Schizosaccharomyces pombe: one gene and its partners. The gene in region 4 interacts genetically with the main gene of each other region. Each region holds a gene or a part of one and is shown on either strand. Other genes may lie near its edges.

Region 1 (4,605 bases), 2.3 Mb from region 4:
AGTCCAAGCACCACCAGCTAGAGTTTTAGAGCAACCTTTACCGGAACACTTCCAGATACCTATACATAAACGTTAGAAATAATTCCACACAAATCTAAAGATCCCAATGACTAATACATACCAGCAGCAGTGCGCTTGACAGTCAAACGGCCGCAGAAAGGACATTGGTAACGAGAGTGTTGCTGAACTTCGATTTTGCGAACATCACGACGCAAAGATGCACCGTAGCGTACACCGTACTTGCCAGTGACACCAACCTTTTTGGTACGCTTGGTCATTGTGTTGTTGACAAGTTACAAAATTGGTTTCAGATGTTCCTACTCGCAGGTGGATTACCGTGACTGTTTTCACTAATAGGGTAGGGTTGTTTGGTTAACACACTCTGCGTCGCTAATTTATTAAACGCATCTGTGTAGTTCACTAATTATTTGCAAAAGTTTATTTACTTTTACAATCATGTTAAAAGATTTACAGCATGCTTGAAATATAAATAAATTAAATTTACTATTTATATTTTTGTTCATTTAGTTTATCGGTTTGTCTTAAATGAAACTTGTAGCGACAAGTAAATATATATTAAACTAAGTAATAAAAAGATCAAATTATTAAATGAAAAGCTAAAAATTAAGGCGCTCAAGCAGTTATTTGAGAATAACAAAGTATCAATTTTCACTTTCTTCACTATTTTCAATATTAGTTTAAAAGGTGAAGCAAAACGTGTACAACAATCATTTAGGTCATAAACAGTTAACATAAGAGATATAAAAGACATTCTAAAATTGGAGAAGTAAATTCAGAAAAATTAATGTTTTAAAACTCATCGTGCCTTCATTAACAATGGGGATTAGTAATAGAACAAAAGTATGGAAGCATTAACAGAAGTGAACGATGAAACATATGTATGCGTGATTATTGAAAGAATTTGAAGCCTTAAAATATTCAAAGTTACTAGAATACATCATGAAAAATGAACATAGCTAACTTAGTACCAGGTGTACTTGAGTCAGTAAACTACTTTCATTTTTCGTTTTTATGCTCTAAAATTGAAGCCTCTTTCAAAATTTGGCTCGCAAAATCTAGAGACAAGTTCTTTCCTGTTACCAATTTATAAATCGAAGATCCTACCGCTTTCGCAAATGGTGTTTGTTTTTCGAGGTTGCTCAAAAACATAAGCTGCTCAGGCAAAGGTTGGTTCTCTTGAATTGGAAACTTTTCGGAAGCGGAAAATACCAACTGTAAGACTTGAGAAAAATCGATCAATTTATTATGATAATGGGGAATGACTTTTACTAAAGCTTCAGCGCAAGAACTATTGGTTTGAAAAAATGACAAAGATTTTAACCAATTAATGTAGAGATCATTTTTATCAGTAGTTAAGGAAGCTAGCGGGTTATGTGAATCAGAAGCGTTAAGCTTTTTAGTTGGTAGCTCATTTTCTCTGGATTCACGTTGACGATCAGAGGCTTTTCTTTTACGCGACGAACCTTGCATATTAAAATCATTGGCATTCCCTAAATGAAAATGGGCTCCATGGTCTGATAAATGAGTGCGATCTTCAAAATTTTGGTTGTATACATACGAAGATTTCTCCAAATGCTTACTTCGAGGCCCTGTATCTCTATTATCGTAATGTTCTCGTTTGGACCTATATGAATCTGAACGACTATCTGGATGGTAAGAATCATATCGTCGATGATGATTCGATGATCTTGAAACCTGAGTGTTTTTCGGTTTGTCGTAATCCTCTTGTTGTGAAGGCCTATTGAAATTGTCAAGATTTATACTCTCCGCCCATTCGTTTTTGTAATGTTTTGTATCATCTGTAGAGCTCCAAGAACCATTAGTTTCGCCCCAACCATCATCCAGGTTTCCCCATGAAGCTTCAGGATCATCGGGGGCAAACCAAGAGGATTTTGCTTGATACTTCGGACGAAATTGTGGATCGCTATTCGAATCAAGCTCCATAAACATCGACGTATCGGTATGATCAAGAGACTTAGAAGATTCACGAAATCCAGTAGAATTATCATCCCAGCCAACAGACTTAGAGTCAGAACTGCGAATATCATTTTCACGAAGTGAAATGCTTTCATGCAGTCTAGAAGATGACTCTATTATTGAATCAGAAGTAGAGTTGTCCCACGATTCAATCTCCATGCTTCCTGAGCTTTTATCTAAAAACTTGTTTCTGCTTTTCCGATGTTTGCTTTTTTTCGTTTCTATAGGTTTTTCAAATTCAGTAACGGAGTTCTTTCTTAGTTGTTTCGACTTCACTGGCTTCTCCTTTCCATCCGTAACGAGTGGAAACTCAACATTAGATGATGTGTATTTTTTTGAAGCTCTTACCTCCTTTGTGACTCCAGAGGAAGTATGGGTTGCCTTTGCTTTAGCAGGACTGTTCTTAAGTTGCTGTGGGAAGTCAACAGCAGCCAGCAATTTCCTCTGCGATAGCATTTCAGAGCGGCAGTAAACTGCTTCTTCAGCTAGTTCCTGCCTTTTTTCTCTCCTATTTTTTAGATTAGAAAGCCAATGTTCAGTGAATAATTCGTGAACTCGCTCTAGCGAAACAGTTGCTGATCGCCGAGATGTTCCATGATTTTCGGGAAAGTCTGAAATACAAGCTAAAAACGGTAAACTTGGAAGATATTTTTTGATTCCTTTCTCCATTAAAATCGTAGCTCAAATAGGATCAAAAGCTCTCATTAAATTATAGTGGTTAGGAGTAAGTTAAGAAGTTTGATGAGTATGTGTAACATTAGATAGTAAGGATATTAATCGAGATACATACAGGTATCTTTTTTCTGAAATTTTGTATTTGCAAATAATTGAATCCTAAAAAACCCAATTTAAAGTACACCTACGTGAAATTGAAAAGAGTAGCCAGTTTCAATTACTTAAATGCTGAAACTTGAACATGAAACGTTACGGAACATAAGTATTTCTTATCCCTTGACCTCTTCATTAAAGGAAAATAAGCATTTTGATACTCTTAGTTAATAATCTTGTTCAAGCGTTGCAATAAACATTTCAAATCAGTCAAAAATAAGAGGAGAAATAAGTTCAACAGCTTTTGTTAATTAATACGTGAACCAAAAATTAACACGAAAGTTAATTTTGTGGCTTCTCAGCATTGCTTTGTGTTTACATTTTTTGTTTATTGTACAGAACTGGGTTAGTAAATAACCCAGTCACCATAGTAACGCCTTTAGTCTTACAATACACCAGCTGATTCTTGAATACCAATATTTATTTGCAGCATAAAATCATGTCGTTTATGTCGTTGATGGCTAATACAGCCCATCAACTATGGTATCCTACGTCTTTTCCTTCTATGAAAGAATTGGAAAAGGAAGAAGTTAGACTGGAGACTCAGGTATGTTTGTTTACGATTTTCAACGAGTTTCTGTGCATGAGAAAAGTCTAACTTGAACGAATCTTAGGAGCTTGCAATTAAACAGTTTGGATTTCGCACTATTCGGCCCATTGGATTAAATAGGTCTATGCAAGAGCAGCTTGATTTGGAAGAGCAAGAGCGCGAAGAGGCTAATCAAGACACTGAGTTGGATGAAGAAGAATTGGGAAGTGGGAGCTTTCCTGAAGAAGGCGAAATGGACGATATGGATGGTGATAATGAAGAAGTAGAAGATCACGATATTGAAGAAGTCGACTTGGATGCTGATATCACAAATGCTGACGCCTCTGAATTTTACGAAGATATAAGTGAATACGGATTTCAAAATTAAGGCTTTAAAAATAATAATATCGAATCAACCATGATTGCTAAAGCTATGCTGCTGCATTACCCGATTGAAAAATGTATGTACAATCGAATTTATTCCCATAATTGTTTACGAAAAAAGAACTTGAAGATAATAACTGGATACACAACCTATGCATGCTAAAAGGCTATCAACTCTTTATGATTCAAATGACCCATTTGATTCTACTGTTTTGAATTTATTTAACGATGTCTAAATTTACAATGCTAATTTTATTTAGCATTTTTAAGCAATGTTCTTAAACCACTAGCCTTTTACATCATTGACAGATCCCATTTGGAATCCTGACTTACTGTTAACCGTATAACTTAAATAATCATTTTCTTGGCTGTTCGTTTTTGGTGTTTGAATATTCATATTGGAGTGCAACAAACCGTTGTGTATTTCTTAGACATCGTTGAAACTAATTTAAAGCCTACCCGAAACTATGAATTTGTTTCTATCTCGGTTCACGGGGTTACGAAATACTTCATTTTTGGGTCATGCACGACCGTTTATGTTTCCACGTCGCTATGCTCATTCTTTAGTGGCACATAATATTGGTCATATCAAGCTAGATCCAAATGAAGGTCTTTTCTTCGTGGATAATCTCGTCAATACTCCAACCTATTTCTACATTCAGCGATACACTGCGTTGCTCTTTCAGAACAACTTGAAAAAGCAGCTAAGTGCTGCTTTTCCAAGCTCTGATACAATGCAGTTGGAAGATATCATATTCAGATGGCAAGATGGAGGAGCATTTTTAAAAGTACGTTACAAGGAATTCCCACAAGATACAGAAGCGGTTTCAGAACACGTCCGTGAATCATTTCGAAAGCGTCCAGTT
Region 2 (3,378 bases), on a different chromosome or scaffold from region 4:
TAGCGTGGATTTGCATACTCATTGTTCATACCAGCTTATGCTACCTGAAGCTATTGCAATTGTTATGGCTCCTTCCAAAAATACGTAAGAAAAAAATTTTTTTTTCTACATATATTAACGACTTTTAGCTCTGGCATCTTCCGTTTATTAGATCCTGAGGGACTACAAACTATAGTCAAGTGTCGAAAACCTGGGCTTTTTCATCCACATGAGGGAAAAGTTTATACGATGGTTGCTCAGCCTGGGCATGTTAGAGAAATTAACTCGAAACTTCAAGTTGTTGATTTGAGGGTTAAATAGGTAAGGATGCAATAGTAACACTTCTTTTATTCTATTATTGGTTCATCTTACAGACGCCAGGCACTTATGAATTAACTAATGGTATTTGTAACATGGTAGTGGCTACGGAAAGTTCATTATAGGAAATGAATCTATGCGTCTAATGAAACGTTCTTTGATGAATTTGTTTTTTTACGAGGATTTTGTTAAATGATAGCGAATGCGTTATGAAAAAATTATCAAAAAAATTTTATTTATTTAAAACACCATGTATCCAAAGAAACCAAAATAACGTGAAGGTAGTTTGAGATGCTCACTCTTGAAGCTAGATTAACATCCAGTAACCAATGGTAAGGTATTAGTTGTAAATTTGTAATCCAAACATGGATGCAACTAAAATTACCAATAAACGCTGCTAATGATAATATAGCAGAATAAATGAGAATGAGACATATAAAAATCTGTTTAAATAAAGAGCATGCGCTACGAATATGGAACAAAAGCAAAAGTGCTGACTAACTTAGCATTCGTAAATGTGTCTCTAGTTTAGTCCGCCATGACAACGTTACTATTGTCAGCAAGCTTGGAAGCTACACTCTGTTTTGGCTGTCCAATATTCACCGCAGCTTCTGCTTCTTCTTGTGTATACGGCTCTTCACGCAAATTTTTTAACCTTCGTTTGTGAACCTTTCCCTTCTTATGCACCAGCAATGCTTGAGACGAGTCAAAGTACCGTGCACATTCAATGCAATAATGTTGACCTAAACCTGGCAAATCCGGATCTATAGGTAATTTATCAAATTTCTCAGACTCTGTTAAGTCATTGTGAATCTGATCTAAGTCTCTATTTGTCCAATTGTTAATTTACCAAACGATGATTGAATGACCATGAAATTTGCATACCTCCCATAAACACGAGTTCTAAACAAAGCATGATTTCCATTGCTATGATGCTTTCTTTTTCTGGCAACTCTTCCCATTGTCCGTCACTTCAAACAAACCCGTTTACCACAATTACAATGTTAGTTGCAAAGGATAAACTTTTTTAAGCGTAAACACATTCAATATCCAAACGGCGTAATGTGTGCTATATCGTATAGTGAAAAATAATTCTCAAATAATCTTATTTTCCTATCGTAGTTTGCGATAAGTTTAATAACGAGAAGGAAAGCCTCGTTATATAGTTGAAAAGCAAGAGAAATGTATTAGATATGTATTATTGATTGTTCTGAATAGCTCAAGTAGCGTAAATTTTTTAATAAATAAATATTCGTTCAAAATTTGGGAGAGCATGGTCAAAGCAAGTTGAAATGCATGCCTTTGAAATTGCGCTTTTTAAGCGACGATTGCTCCATCGTTTGACAAAACTTTGTAATTTAAGGGATGTTTAGCATCGGAATTTATTAGGGAAAATTGCTTTAGGCGTGATTCTTAGTACATGGCAACTATAGAAGAAATGAATTAACATTCAGTAGCTTTCTGGCTTTAACTGCCACTATTTCATCAAAGTCTCGACAAGTTGACGTTTAGTCGAAGGAAAGAAAGTATTCACGTAGCGAGATCAGAGTCCGCTTATCAGCAAGGAAAAAATTGAGCTCTCCATTTAGACTGCTATACTGAAGTGTGAGCAATTTTAGTGACATTTAGTTTTACAAAAGGAGCTTGATTGCTCGAACTCAAAAGATTCAATTAACCACGAAGGGGTTCTTGGCAGTGAGGTTGTAATTATTTCTTTTTTATTTTATCTTTATTTGACTTTTGTTTTTTCCCAAAGAATAATTGCAATGTTCAATTAGTTTTGAATTTGAAAAACCTCATATGGGTAAAAAATCACTCGGTCGAAAAAGACAGTAAAAATTTATTAGTTAATTTCGTAAGATGGGGCGCGAATTAAAGAAAGTTGCTAGTTATCATGTAATAACATAATTGAAACCCTCGATTCGACAAGTATGCAGACAGCAAAACGAATGCACGTACTAAACAAATAGTAAGCCATTTTTTGTAAAATGAAAATGTGAATCAATAAACAAATAACTTTGCCTATCTCAATTCAAACGTGTTTTTTTAAAATATATCTATCGATTTGTAATAGGCAAATTGTTTATTGCAGCTATCTCCAAGCTTGCTTAATCACATGTTCAAAGATGCAAAGCCCAGCATATCCGTGTAGCATATGTTTTCATTCAAAAAAGTAATAATATCCTAAAAACATATTTAAAACAAGCTATCAATTTTAATTTTTTCCCTATAAACAAACGTATGCTATATGAACATGTGTACCTAAATTTTTTTCGACCAAGATTTATAGACTCTATGTTTGAAAGAGATCTTTTTGTCCATATCGATAAACTAAGACTGCTTGAAGGGCAGATGCTGACATCTGCAGAGCAGGAAAAGAAGTATGCGTACTTCGTAAAGACTTGAGTACTGAACGTAGGGTCGATATATCTTCTCCATTCAAAAGCTCAGGAAGTTTATAACAAAAGCAAAAAATCCATTGACTCTAGAAAAATGTTAGCAAATTTTAGAATGAACAAAAATACACCAGCAAAGTAGCATGAGATCCTTGTTACCAACCTGTAAATCAATTGCGTCCTTTTCAAGCCAGCTGGACAAGCTTTCTAGGATCTCCAAAACAGTTGCCAAATCAACCACTGCTAATATGGCCCAACAAGGAGCTTTATGCTCAATATATACACGCCATTGTTGTAAATTTTTAGGTAAAATAGATGCGTCCAATGAAGAAGATTCCATATATTGCTCAAGCCTTTCCCCTTCTTTATCAATTATGTTTAGTAAGTATCGTAAAAACGGGTCAAAGCTTTTTTTGCCGGCCTCGATTTCCAATTTGCGAAGAGGAATGGTTTCTCTTGTTTCAGGCTCACGACGCGCCGCTACAAATGGAACTAGCTTGCGAGCTTCTTCTCTGAACTTGTCAGTAAAAAGCCCAATTATTGTTACAATGATTAGATTAAAGCATTCATGTTGCAAATTTCGATTTTCACAAAAATTCATATATAAATGTTCGTACCTCACAGTTGCTAAATAATCTAAACCATCAAGTGGTATATCATATTCCAAAGATTCTGAAGCACTATT
Region 3 (3,054 bases), 1.8 Mb from region 4:
GGCATTTTAATGTTGAGCAACGTTCAGTCGTTCGTCGTTGGCAAGTTCAAGATGGTGTATCTACCACTCATTTTTGTTTGGACCCATCTAATAAGTATTTGGCAATTGGTAGCAAGAGTGGTATTGTTAATATATATGACCTCCAGACATCCAATGCGGACGCTGCACCAAAACCTGTCACTACATTGGATAATATTACTTTCAGCATAAATAGTATGAGCTTTTCTCAAGATAGTCAAGTTTTAGCTATCGCATCTCGAGGAAAGAAGGATACTCTACGACTCGTTCATGTTCCCAGCTTTAGTGTGTTCCGTAATTGGCCCACCAGCGCTACGCCTTTAGGCAGAGTTACATGCCTAGCTTTTGGTAAGGGTGGTGAGTTATGTGTTGGTAATGAAGCTGGAAGGGTTGGACTTTGGAAACTAGCTCATTATGATTTGAAGTTTGTGCCAGATAAAATTATTAATTGGGAAATACGGTTGGGCAAATTTGGATACGTTTTATTAGGGATTCAAATCTTAATACTACATGTAGACGTTGTTATATTATAGATCAATGCATTACATTATTATTACTAAAAAGCTTTAAGCGAAATATAATAAAATTCAAGTCCTTATAGTACCTTTTTTATACCTAGGTTCGAAACACTAGTAAACGATTGTTTAATATGAGCCGATTCATTTTTCTGCTGTATGTTCTCTTCAACAGAATTTATAGAAAGAGGAAATCTATTACACGTTAATGGAGTCAATATCAGACTCCTAATTTGTTTGTTTTTTTTTGGTAAATAAATAGTAAACGTTCACTGAACACCGTATTTTTGCTTAACTTGTTCCAAGGCGGCATACCTTGCTGCCAAATCTTGACCATCAACCTTAGCTCTTTCAGGGTTATAATAATGCACTAAAAAAAAAGTTAACAAGAAGATATTAAAAAGCCGTTAGAAAGGAGAAATTAAAATTAATAGTAGCTAATACATTCCCTAAGATAACGTACCAACCAAGTATCTATCCATGAAGTTGTAGCCAGAAAGCTTTTCGCAAGCTCGACGAGCGTCTTGAACGTTTTCATAAACCACAAATGCAGTACCTCTTGTTTGAACCGTATTCCCCAGCCTTATTTGTCGTACAGGACCATACCTACCAAAAAGATCGTACATCTCTTCTGCTGTAATTTTAAAAGACAAGTTCTTGATGAATAGGATAGAATTGACTTCTTGATTAACTGTAGATGGAGGCATTTGTTATTTTTACGATCTTAACACTTTTTGTTAAAAAAATCAAATTTCGAAAAGAAATGATTTGGTTTGCTTTGGAAAGGATAAATATTCCTAAAAGGTTGGTTGGGATCAGATGGAAAATACTCGTTATCACAGCTTGGAGATTGATGTTGTATAGTCAATCCTATACGTGAGTTTAATTATAGTAGAAAAGATTGAGACATGAATATTAAAGGTTACGTTTCGTGGTTTGGACAAGAAGAGGTATATGCTGGGAAATCGAATGGACCAACAGATCGTAGACAAAACGGTTCAACCTTTTACCAAAATTTTCCTCTTCTTTTACCTGGTAACTCCAAATGTCAAATGCAATCCTTAGTTCATGAGATCTTTGATCAGAGTTGAAACTGACATGGCGGTGATTTCAATAGAGAGTCAATTTAAAGTGATTTTCAAATTATACATAACTAGTTGAAAATCATAAACATTTTTATTGGTATTTTTTGCTTCCTCGTTTGTCTATCCTACAGGAAATAGGTTTCAACTTTAAAACTGACAATTGCAAAGAATAGTTTGATAGTATAGTTGTATCATCAATTTATATTTTTCCTTATTTCTTTACTTTCTTTTAACTTATACTCTTGTTTGGCAATGGGACTTTTATCAAGGAAACAATTTGGTATCATTGATCTTTTGCCTACAGACCAACTAGTTCATCAATTTCTTCTCAAGTTCTTTTGAAATTTCTTAAATTTTTTATTTCCTGATCCCAGAAAACTACATCTGCAAAATTAATGATTCATTTTACGCTTCCAATGCCATGCTTTCGTATATAAGTGATAGCAACAGAGACACTAAAGGGAAAGGATAGCTTTGTTGAATATGTGGATCTTACTGTACTTCATTTTATCTAATTTGAAAGATTTCTCATTGCTCTTTGCTTACAACTGCTCTTAATTGAGAATGTGCTGCATTGCAAATGCTGTTTTGAAGCAATTTAGGAAATTACAGAAAAAAGAAACTATAGTAGCGTTTACAATTTCGAAAACTATACTAATAATTTTAACTAATGAAGCTAGCTATATTCATTATGATAAGCAGGAACTAAGTATTTAAAAAAGTAAATAATGTTGTACAAAAACGAAATAAACCAACTAACGTTAAAGTACGAAATTAATTGACTCATCTATAACCGTTCTTTATTTTTTTTATTTTTTCAATGAATAAAGCTATTGGCATTGATTGCTAATCTGGTTTGATATATGATATACATATTTTTCTTTTTGAAGTATTGAACAATTCTTTTTACGCTTCTAGTAGATTAATTACCATTTACTCTTTTTTTAAAAAAAATAAATAAATAAATAAATAAATAAAATTTTGTATATTCAAGTGGTTTCTGCTCATTAGCCTAATTCGCAAATAACTCTAGTTTAACATAAAATTTAACTTGACGAAATGCGAAAAATGTCTTGTACGACAAAATTTCAAGAGTTAGGATTGAGAGAAGAATTAAAAAACAATAGAACAATAAAACTATTGCACGTAACCCCTAAAACTTGTTGAAATTGGCAATGTTGATTAAATACCTATATCTGAATTAATTTACGAGAGAAAAAAACCTAAACGAAAGATTAATAAAAGCGCATATTTAAGGAAAAATTTTTCTATGAATAATTTCTCTTTTCATCCATTAATCGCCTTCTTGACCCATTTCTTCTCTTGTATTTACATTTTCATCTTAAGTAACACGTCACCTACATCAAGCATCCAGGTAGTCATCGTGGCAAGCATGAATTTGCTCTTTCCCCATATTCGCTACTGAGGTGTGCAGC
Region 4 (6,360 bases):
TTCATTCGTCCCTACTTGATTCTCCAAGTATCACCCGATCGCTGTATGCTCGCTCCTACTGCGACGAGAAGAAAATTGCATCTCTTTTGTCCGTCGATCCCATTCTCGATTTGCACACGTACGCACATATGATAAGGCATCGTTGCAGGTGACGTTGTAATGTCTGCCGCTTCCATCAGCACGATTTTTAGTCCATAGCATCCCTGTCCCTTTGTTGAGCGCTGCACATAAAGGAAAAAGAAAAACCGAATGAAATTTGATTTAATGTAACATACATGCTTTACTAATAAACGAAGAAAAGAGTCGATAATGTCAAGGGGAAATCTAAAAGAAAAGAAAATACTATACTATACTATACTATACTAGACTATACTTTACTTTACTAAACTATACTATTATAATGAAAAGGATCCTCAAGATTCATTCTTATACGGATGTATGTTGTTTCGATGTTTATAAATAGGAATTGGATGTTTAGTTGGCGAGTTATTTAGATGTTTAATGATAGTTATTTGTATTATTTAAATTATTTGTATTGTTAATATTATTTAAATTATTAGTATTATTTGTATTTGCATCTATTTATATGTTTAATGATAGTTATTTGCATCTATTCATACAACTATTTCAATCATTCAACAGGAATAAAACCATTTCCTTTTTATTCTATCCCTCTTTCTTCTTCTAATCTTCCTTTTCATTCTTTCTTTACTCTCTCTCCCTACTCAACTCTTCCCATATCTAGCGTTCCTCCTACCTCCAGCGTTTCTCCCAAGTCTAGCGTTTCTCTTATGTCTAGCCTCTTTTATATGTTTCGCTACCATCTATTTAGTGAAGTGCGCAAGAATTTGTTCTTTTCTTCTTTCTTTCTTTCTTTCTCTGATCCTCCTCCTTGTGCTCTTTCGTCCTTCTTGCAACGTGCTATTTTTCCCTACAAGAACCTCCCACTGCCCAAGGCCCATCAACAATCTAACATGACGCGATTGATAGGAGAATGACTTTTAGGTCTCGAAAGCCAAACCTTACCTCTTCGGAAGATGCGCGTAGAAAAACGCACCGTTTCCATATCACCAAATAGGAGAAAACACTATCGCGCCTTATTCACTCATTCCAAAAAAGTGTCGTCATCGTCAATGAGGGCCGCTGTCATCGACAAATAAGAGGTCAGTCATCTTTCAAGGCCAATTTGGTCAAACTGACTCGACTGGTGCCGCAAGATGAAAAAAAAAAACACCGATGTCCATTAGAGCCCATGTGGGGCAGTGCCCCCTTGAGAAAACTGACTTCACCCCTACCCTGAAAAATGACGTAGTATCAGGGCGTTCCGAAACGGATATCGAGTCAATTTCCTTGGCATTGACGGTATGGACAAAATGGCAATTTTAAGAAAAGTCGTACCAAAACCATCTGATCTTCCCAATCACCAATGATCTCAATTTCACGTCACCTCTCACTGCACGGCGGTAAAGGAAGGAACGGGGAGGTTTTTTCCGAGATTGGCTCACTTGCTCACATTGGCAAGATTGGCTTCGAGAATAGCATAACCCAGTATAACACACTTAAAATAGAAATAGCATTGTGTAACGAAGAAAGCCAAGGCTGCGTTAAGACAGGGTTAGGCCAAGTCAGGTCAGACAAGGAAGGGGGGATACACATACAACATACCTTTTCCATTCCTTGCTTGCTGGCTTACTACTTCCATTGCAAAAACTGCTACTACTGCATAAAACGTCACTTGTCTGCTAATAATGCATACAAAGTTACCGAGAGATTGGAAATTTGATATTGTATGATAGATTGCATTCGTGACACTCAGTGTCCGAACCCCTAAATGCATAGAATGAAATGACATGATTGATATCAAGCATCAGCGCAAAAAAACACGCACCAGAGCCAGCGCTACAAGAAAGCATCGTTAGGGAGCCAGGGGAGCCTAAAGTACCCAAAAGGAGAATTGCGAAATCAAGGGAATTGTCGTTATCTTAAAACTAAGCGACACTTTCAATCATCCATCGTTCTTTCGTTCTTTCTCTCTCACAAACAATCGTTATATCCTTTTTTCGTGGCTTCCCACTTTACTGCACAATGAGGGGAGTACGAGAGAGAGCACGGTGCGGTAATGGATTGAATTTTCAAAATGGAAAGCAAAAGCGAAATCATCCATTCTCGCAGACGTTAGCAAGGTTGGAGTATGAGCTGGTTAAAATTTTTTGAGACTTGATTTGATCAACGATCGGATTACTCAATTGTTTGGCTAAACCGGTTGCATCCCCTCCATCCCTCCTTCCATTCCATCTTCCATCCACACAACTCGCTTTTCAATTCGAATCGGCAAAACACATTGAATCGTCTCTGCCGCAAACGTTGTCGGTGCATGCTGGATTTGCATCTCTCGCGAATTCGTTAGCGATGCCATTCGCTTGTGCTGACCGCTCTCCCTCCCTCCTTTCTTCTCTTCCTCCTTGCTTACCTCTTCGCTCAATCTACCTTCACTCACCCTCTGTACTTCTTCACTGTATCTCGATCGACTCGGACTCTGCACCTCTTCACTATATCGGGGATGCGCCGGTCCCTGCATCTCACGTTTCTTGTTCACCGCCCTTAACAATTCCACCCGCAAAAAGTGTTCCACTCCAAATTGCTGTGTTTCAAATGTTTCCGGACATTCCTCCGGCACAACCATCGAAGCGCTCATGTTTTCCAACTCAAACACTCCCCGTGTAATTCTACACCACACTTTTCGCGTCGCCCTCTCCGTCCCTACGCTGTTGCGTATACGGATGTCTGGCACAATACGCTCCACACTTTCAAGTTGCATATGCACTTGTCGAACCATCGCGTCCAGTCCTTCTAGCTCAATCATCATCATCTCTCCTGTCCGATATCTGCTTTTGCTCAAAAGCAATCGACATAACACTTTTTGTTTGCTTGTAATCTCAAACCTCGTGGCCATTGGTTGCTTGGATTCGAGTTTTTTTAACAACGCAATTTTTTCTTCATCCTCTTCCTCTAATACTTCTTCATTGATCTCTGACCTCATTCCATGATCTTGGAATTCTCCTCCTCCCTCTTCATTAGACTCTCCATCAAGTAGCTTTTTTATGTGTTGCTCGTATTTCTTTTTTTGCTTCTCTTCCTCCTGCGCATCCTGCGAAAGTCGTATACCGTTTTTACCGAATTGCCTACGTGCTTTCTCTGCTGAAACCTCTTCAATTTCTGCCGCATCTGTTTCAATAATCGGTTTGGATAAATCTGCAAACAGCTTCGAGGATTGTCTGTTTCCCGAATTCTTTCCGAGTGGCAGTTCAGGTTGCTGTTGAACGTTGGGTACTATAGTAATTTCAAATTCATGCTCTACACAAGCATTGTTGGTAGCTGATTGGACTCCTATGACCAGTGCGTGTTGAAATCGAAAGGCCAATCCTTTATATGTAGGTGCTGTTCGAAGGGGAATTCTTCGCTTCAACCGAAAGCATTTTTCCTCTCCAGGAGAAAGCGTGATATCGACTCCTAATATATCTGGACGAGTCAGTAGCACTGGAATGGCATTTTCCTGCTTTTGTTCTTTATCGGTTAGTATTCATGCTTAAGCAGTAGGTTGCAGTAAAAATAAGAGTAACCATCTTCCAAAAAAAAAAAAAAAAAAAAAAAAAATTGAATAAAGAGTAAATATGTTTCAAATGAATTACAAAACTCTTCCCAGACAACCTTTCTGTAATTCGTCAATTGACTTTATGTCCACCTCACCGTATAAGCACTCTTCCGAGCTATATCTTCCCTCCAAATGTAAGCCAATTGAGAGATTTTTTTTACCAAGTCTTTATTTCCTTTTGCACCCTTTCACCATTACATACCTGAGGCCTCTGTCAATGTACTTGCTTGTTTAACTCCAAATAAATTTCCAATCATCCCGTTCAGAGTATTAATAACAGAATAACTGCTGGATACCTTGGGAATATGTACTAATCCGCTCATTGTCCTTTTGTTTAAGAGCCCCTGCCTCTGAACCTCATCGAATTCTGTAACGCGCACCAGTACATAGTCAAGGTACATTTCACCATGGATAGAAGCATAGCACAAAAGTAAATTTACATCTTCTGAACTCCTTAGATTCGTGAATTTTACAATGCACTCAAAGTCAGTTCCGGATTGAACTACATTCACTGGCATGTACATTTGCACATCACATTCTGTCATTGTCGAACACCACTAAACTCTTATATTCGATAATTTCTCAAGCCGCTGGCTTCAGCTTTACCTTAATAATAACCATACAACTTGGATTTCTTCATTCGTATTGACGAACGTTTATTAGTCTCGTAACAAATGCACAATCAAAATAGTACTGTAAAAGAGCCCACTTTTCTTCCTCCACGACTCATTTTACGAGATTAAATAACGAACGCCCACAATCAATTTTTTACACTCTCCTTACTATTCCTTAATTTACTCATTTACGAATGTTTTAACGAAGCTTTGTTAACTCTCTGCTTTTGGCAAATTGTCACATTCCTTGCTATTGTCGCCCAATATACATACATACACTGCTTTTTTGGAAGTTAGACAGTAGCTTCTCAGGAATTGGGTAATTGTTATTCATCGTCGGAAATGAGTAATTCTGACATTCGAAGCTTCTTTGGAGGAGGGAACGCTCAAAAAAAGCCAAAAGTCTCACCGACTGTATGTTTGTTTCTTCAATCAGTCAAATTTGATAAGCTAGTCATTCATTTTCTAACGTCTTTGTCTAGCCTACTTCCCCAAAACCAAAAAGGAGTTTGAAGAAAAAAAGAATCGTTTTATCAGATGATGAAGATGGTACAATAGAGAATTCAAAAGTTCCTGCATCCAAAAGCAAAGTGCAAAAACGGTTCGTTTAATTCGGGTTATCAGTTTATATTTCTAACCCTCCAACTAGTAATGAGTCGGAAGATATTTCCCATTCTTTGCCATCCATTGTTCATGAAGACGATAAACTGTATGTTTATTTTACTTTTACCTCATTATGCGTTGTTCGCTAATTTGAATTTTTGTTTAGTGTCGGTTCAGATGGAGTTTCAACTACACCTGATGAGTACTTTGAACAACAGTCTACTCGGTCACGTTCTAAACCGCGGATTATCTCCAATAAAGAAACTACTACTTCCAAAGATGTCGTACATCCTGTAAAAACAGAAAATTTTGCCAATGACTTGGATACCACTTCAGACAGTAAGCCAGTTGTCCATCAAACTAGAGCTACACGTAAACCTGCTCAACCTAAAGCAGAAAAATCGACAACTTCAAAGTCAAAATCTCATACCACAACTGCGACAACTCACACAAGTCGTTCTAGCAAGTCGAAAGGCTTACCTAGGTTCTCAGACGAAGTTTCCCAAGCCCTCAAAAATGTTCCTTTAATTGACGTAGACTCTATGGGTGTGATGGCTCCAGGTACTTTCTATGAACGGGCGGCTACAACACAAACTCCAGGCTCAAAACCCGTCCCTGAAGGCAATAGCGATTGTCTCTCGGGAATTAGCTTTGTTATTACAGGAATTCTAGAGACTTTAACTAGACAAGAGGCTACAGACCTGATCAAACAATATGGTGGAAAAGTGACAGGTGCACCTTCTGTTAGAACAGACTTTATTCTCTTAGGTGAGAATGCTGGTCCAAGAAAAGTGGAAACAATTAAACAACACAAGATTCCTGCTATTAACGAGGATGGACTCTTCTATCTTATAACTCATCTTCCTGCTTCAGGAGGAACGGGTGCTGCGGCTCAGGCTGCTCAACAGAAAAAGGAACAAGAAGAAAAGAAAATCCTTGAAACTGTTGCGAGAATGGACGATAGTAATAAAAAGGAATCACAACCTTCACAGATATGGACTTCAAAATATGCGCCAACTTCTTTAAAGGATATTTGTGGTAATAAGGGTGTCGTTCAAAAACTTCAAAAGTGGCTACAGGATTACCACAAAAACAGGAAGTCCAACTTTAATAAACCTGGACCTGATGGTCTGGGTCTATACAAAGCCGTATTACTCTCTGGTCCTCCAGGTATTGGCAAGACGACTGCTGCTCATTTGGTAGCAAAATTAGAAGGTTACGATGTTTTGGAACTGAACGCTAGTGACACTAGAAGCAAGCGCTTGCTAGATGAGCAGCTGTTCGGTGTGACAGATAGTCAATCACTTGCCGGCTACTTTGGCACAAAAGCTAACCCCGTTGACATGGCAAAGTCCCGACTTGTACTCATTATGGACGAAATCGATGGCATGTCATCGGGTGATCGTGGAGGCGTTGGTCAGTTGAATATGATTATTAAAAAAAGCATGATACCAATTATTTGTATTTGCAATGACCGTGCTCATCCAAAGC

The links.
Region 1: mutations in rgp1 (region 4) and tas3 together harm fitness more than expected from each alone (negative genetic interaction), as found in Schizosaccharomyces pombe (2 studies listed by BioGRID).
Region 2: mutations in rgp1 (region 4) and bud20 together harm fitness more than expected from each alone (negative genetic interaction), as found in Schizosaccharomyces pombe (one large-scale study listed by BioGRID).
Region 3: mutations in rgp1 (region 4) and sap14 together harm fitness more than expected from each alone (negative genetic interaction), as found in Schizosaccharomyces pombe (one large-scale study listed by BioGRID).

The regions. Positions count from the first base shown.
Region 1 is NC_003423.3:1,513,462-1,518,066, forward strand, and holds tas3 (RITS complex subunit 3), read right to left. Parts: upstream 2,719-4,605; 5' UTR 2,668-2,718; coding exon 1,018-2,667; 3' UTR 545-1,017; downstream 1-544. Other genes in the region: rpl4302 (60S ribosomal protein eL43), read right to left, coding at 1-59, 122-278; anaphase-promoting complex platform subcomplex scaffold subunit Apc15, read left to right, coding at 3,266-3,373, 3,441-3,743; RNA-binding protein Yme2, read left to right, coding at 4,207-4,605. UniProt on the Schizosaccharomyces pombe protein: Has a role in the RNA interference (RNAi) pathway which is important for heterochromatin formation and accurate chromosome segregation.
Region 2 is NC_003424.3:4,902,918-4,906,295, forward strand, and holds bud20 (zinc finger ribosome biogenesis protein), read right to left. Parts: upstream 1,317-3,378; 5' UTR 1,260-1,316; coding exon 1,183-1,259; exon of another isoform or gene 1,124-1,182; coding exon 826-1,123; 3' UTR 501-825; downstream 1-500. Other genes in the region: sst2 (AMSH-like ubiquitin-specific protease), read left to right, coding at 1-84, 129-300; yip11 (SMN complex subunit Yip11/Gem2), read right to left, coding at 2,591-2,782, 2,857-3,205, 3,311-3,378. UniProt on the Schizosaccharomyces pombe protein: Involved in pre-60S ribosomal particles maturation by promoting the nuclear export of the 60S ribosome.
Region 3 is NC_003423.3:2,049,456-2,052,509, forward strand, and holds sap14 (Pre-mRNA branch site p14-like protein), read right to left. Parts: upstream 1,314-3,054; 5' UTR 1,241-1,313; coding exon 997-1,240; exon of another isoform or gene 904-996; coding exon 803-903; 3' UTR 542-802; downstream 1-541.
Region 4 is NC_003423.3:3,854,191-3,860,550, reverse strand, and holds rgp1 (protein sat1), read right to left. Parts: upstream 4,333-6,360; 5' UTR 4,198-4,332; coding exon 3,855-4,197; exon of another isoform or gene 3,565-3,854; coding exon 2,255-3,564; 3' UTR 535-2,254; downstream 1-534. Other genes in the region: DNA replication factor C complex subunit Rfc1, read left to right, coding at 4,609-4,680, 4,749-4,867, 4,916-4,975, 5,036-6,360.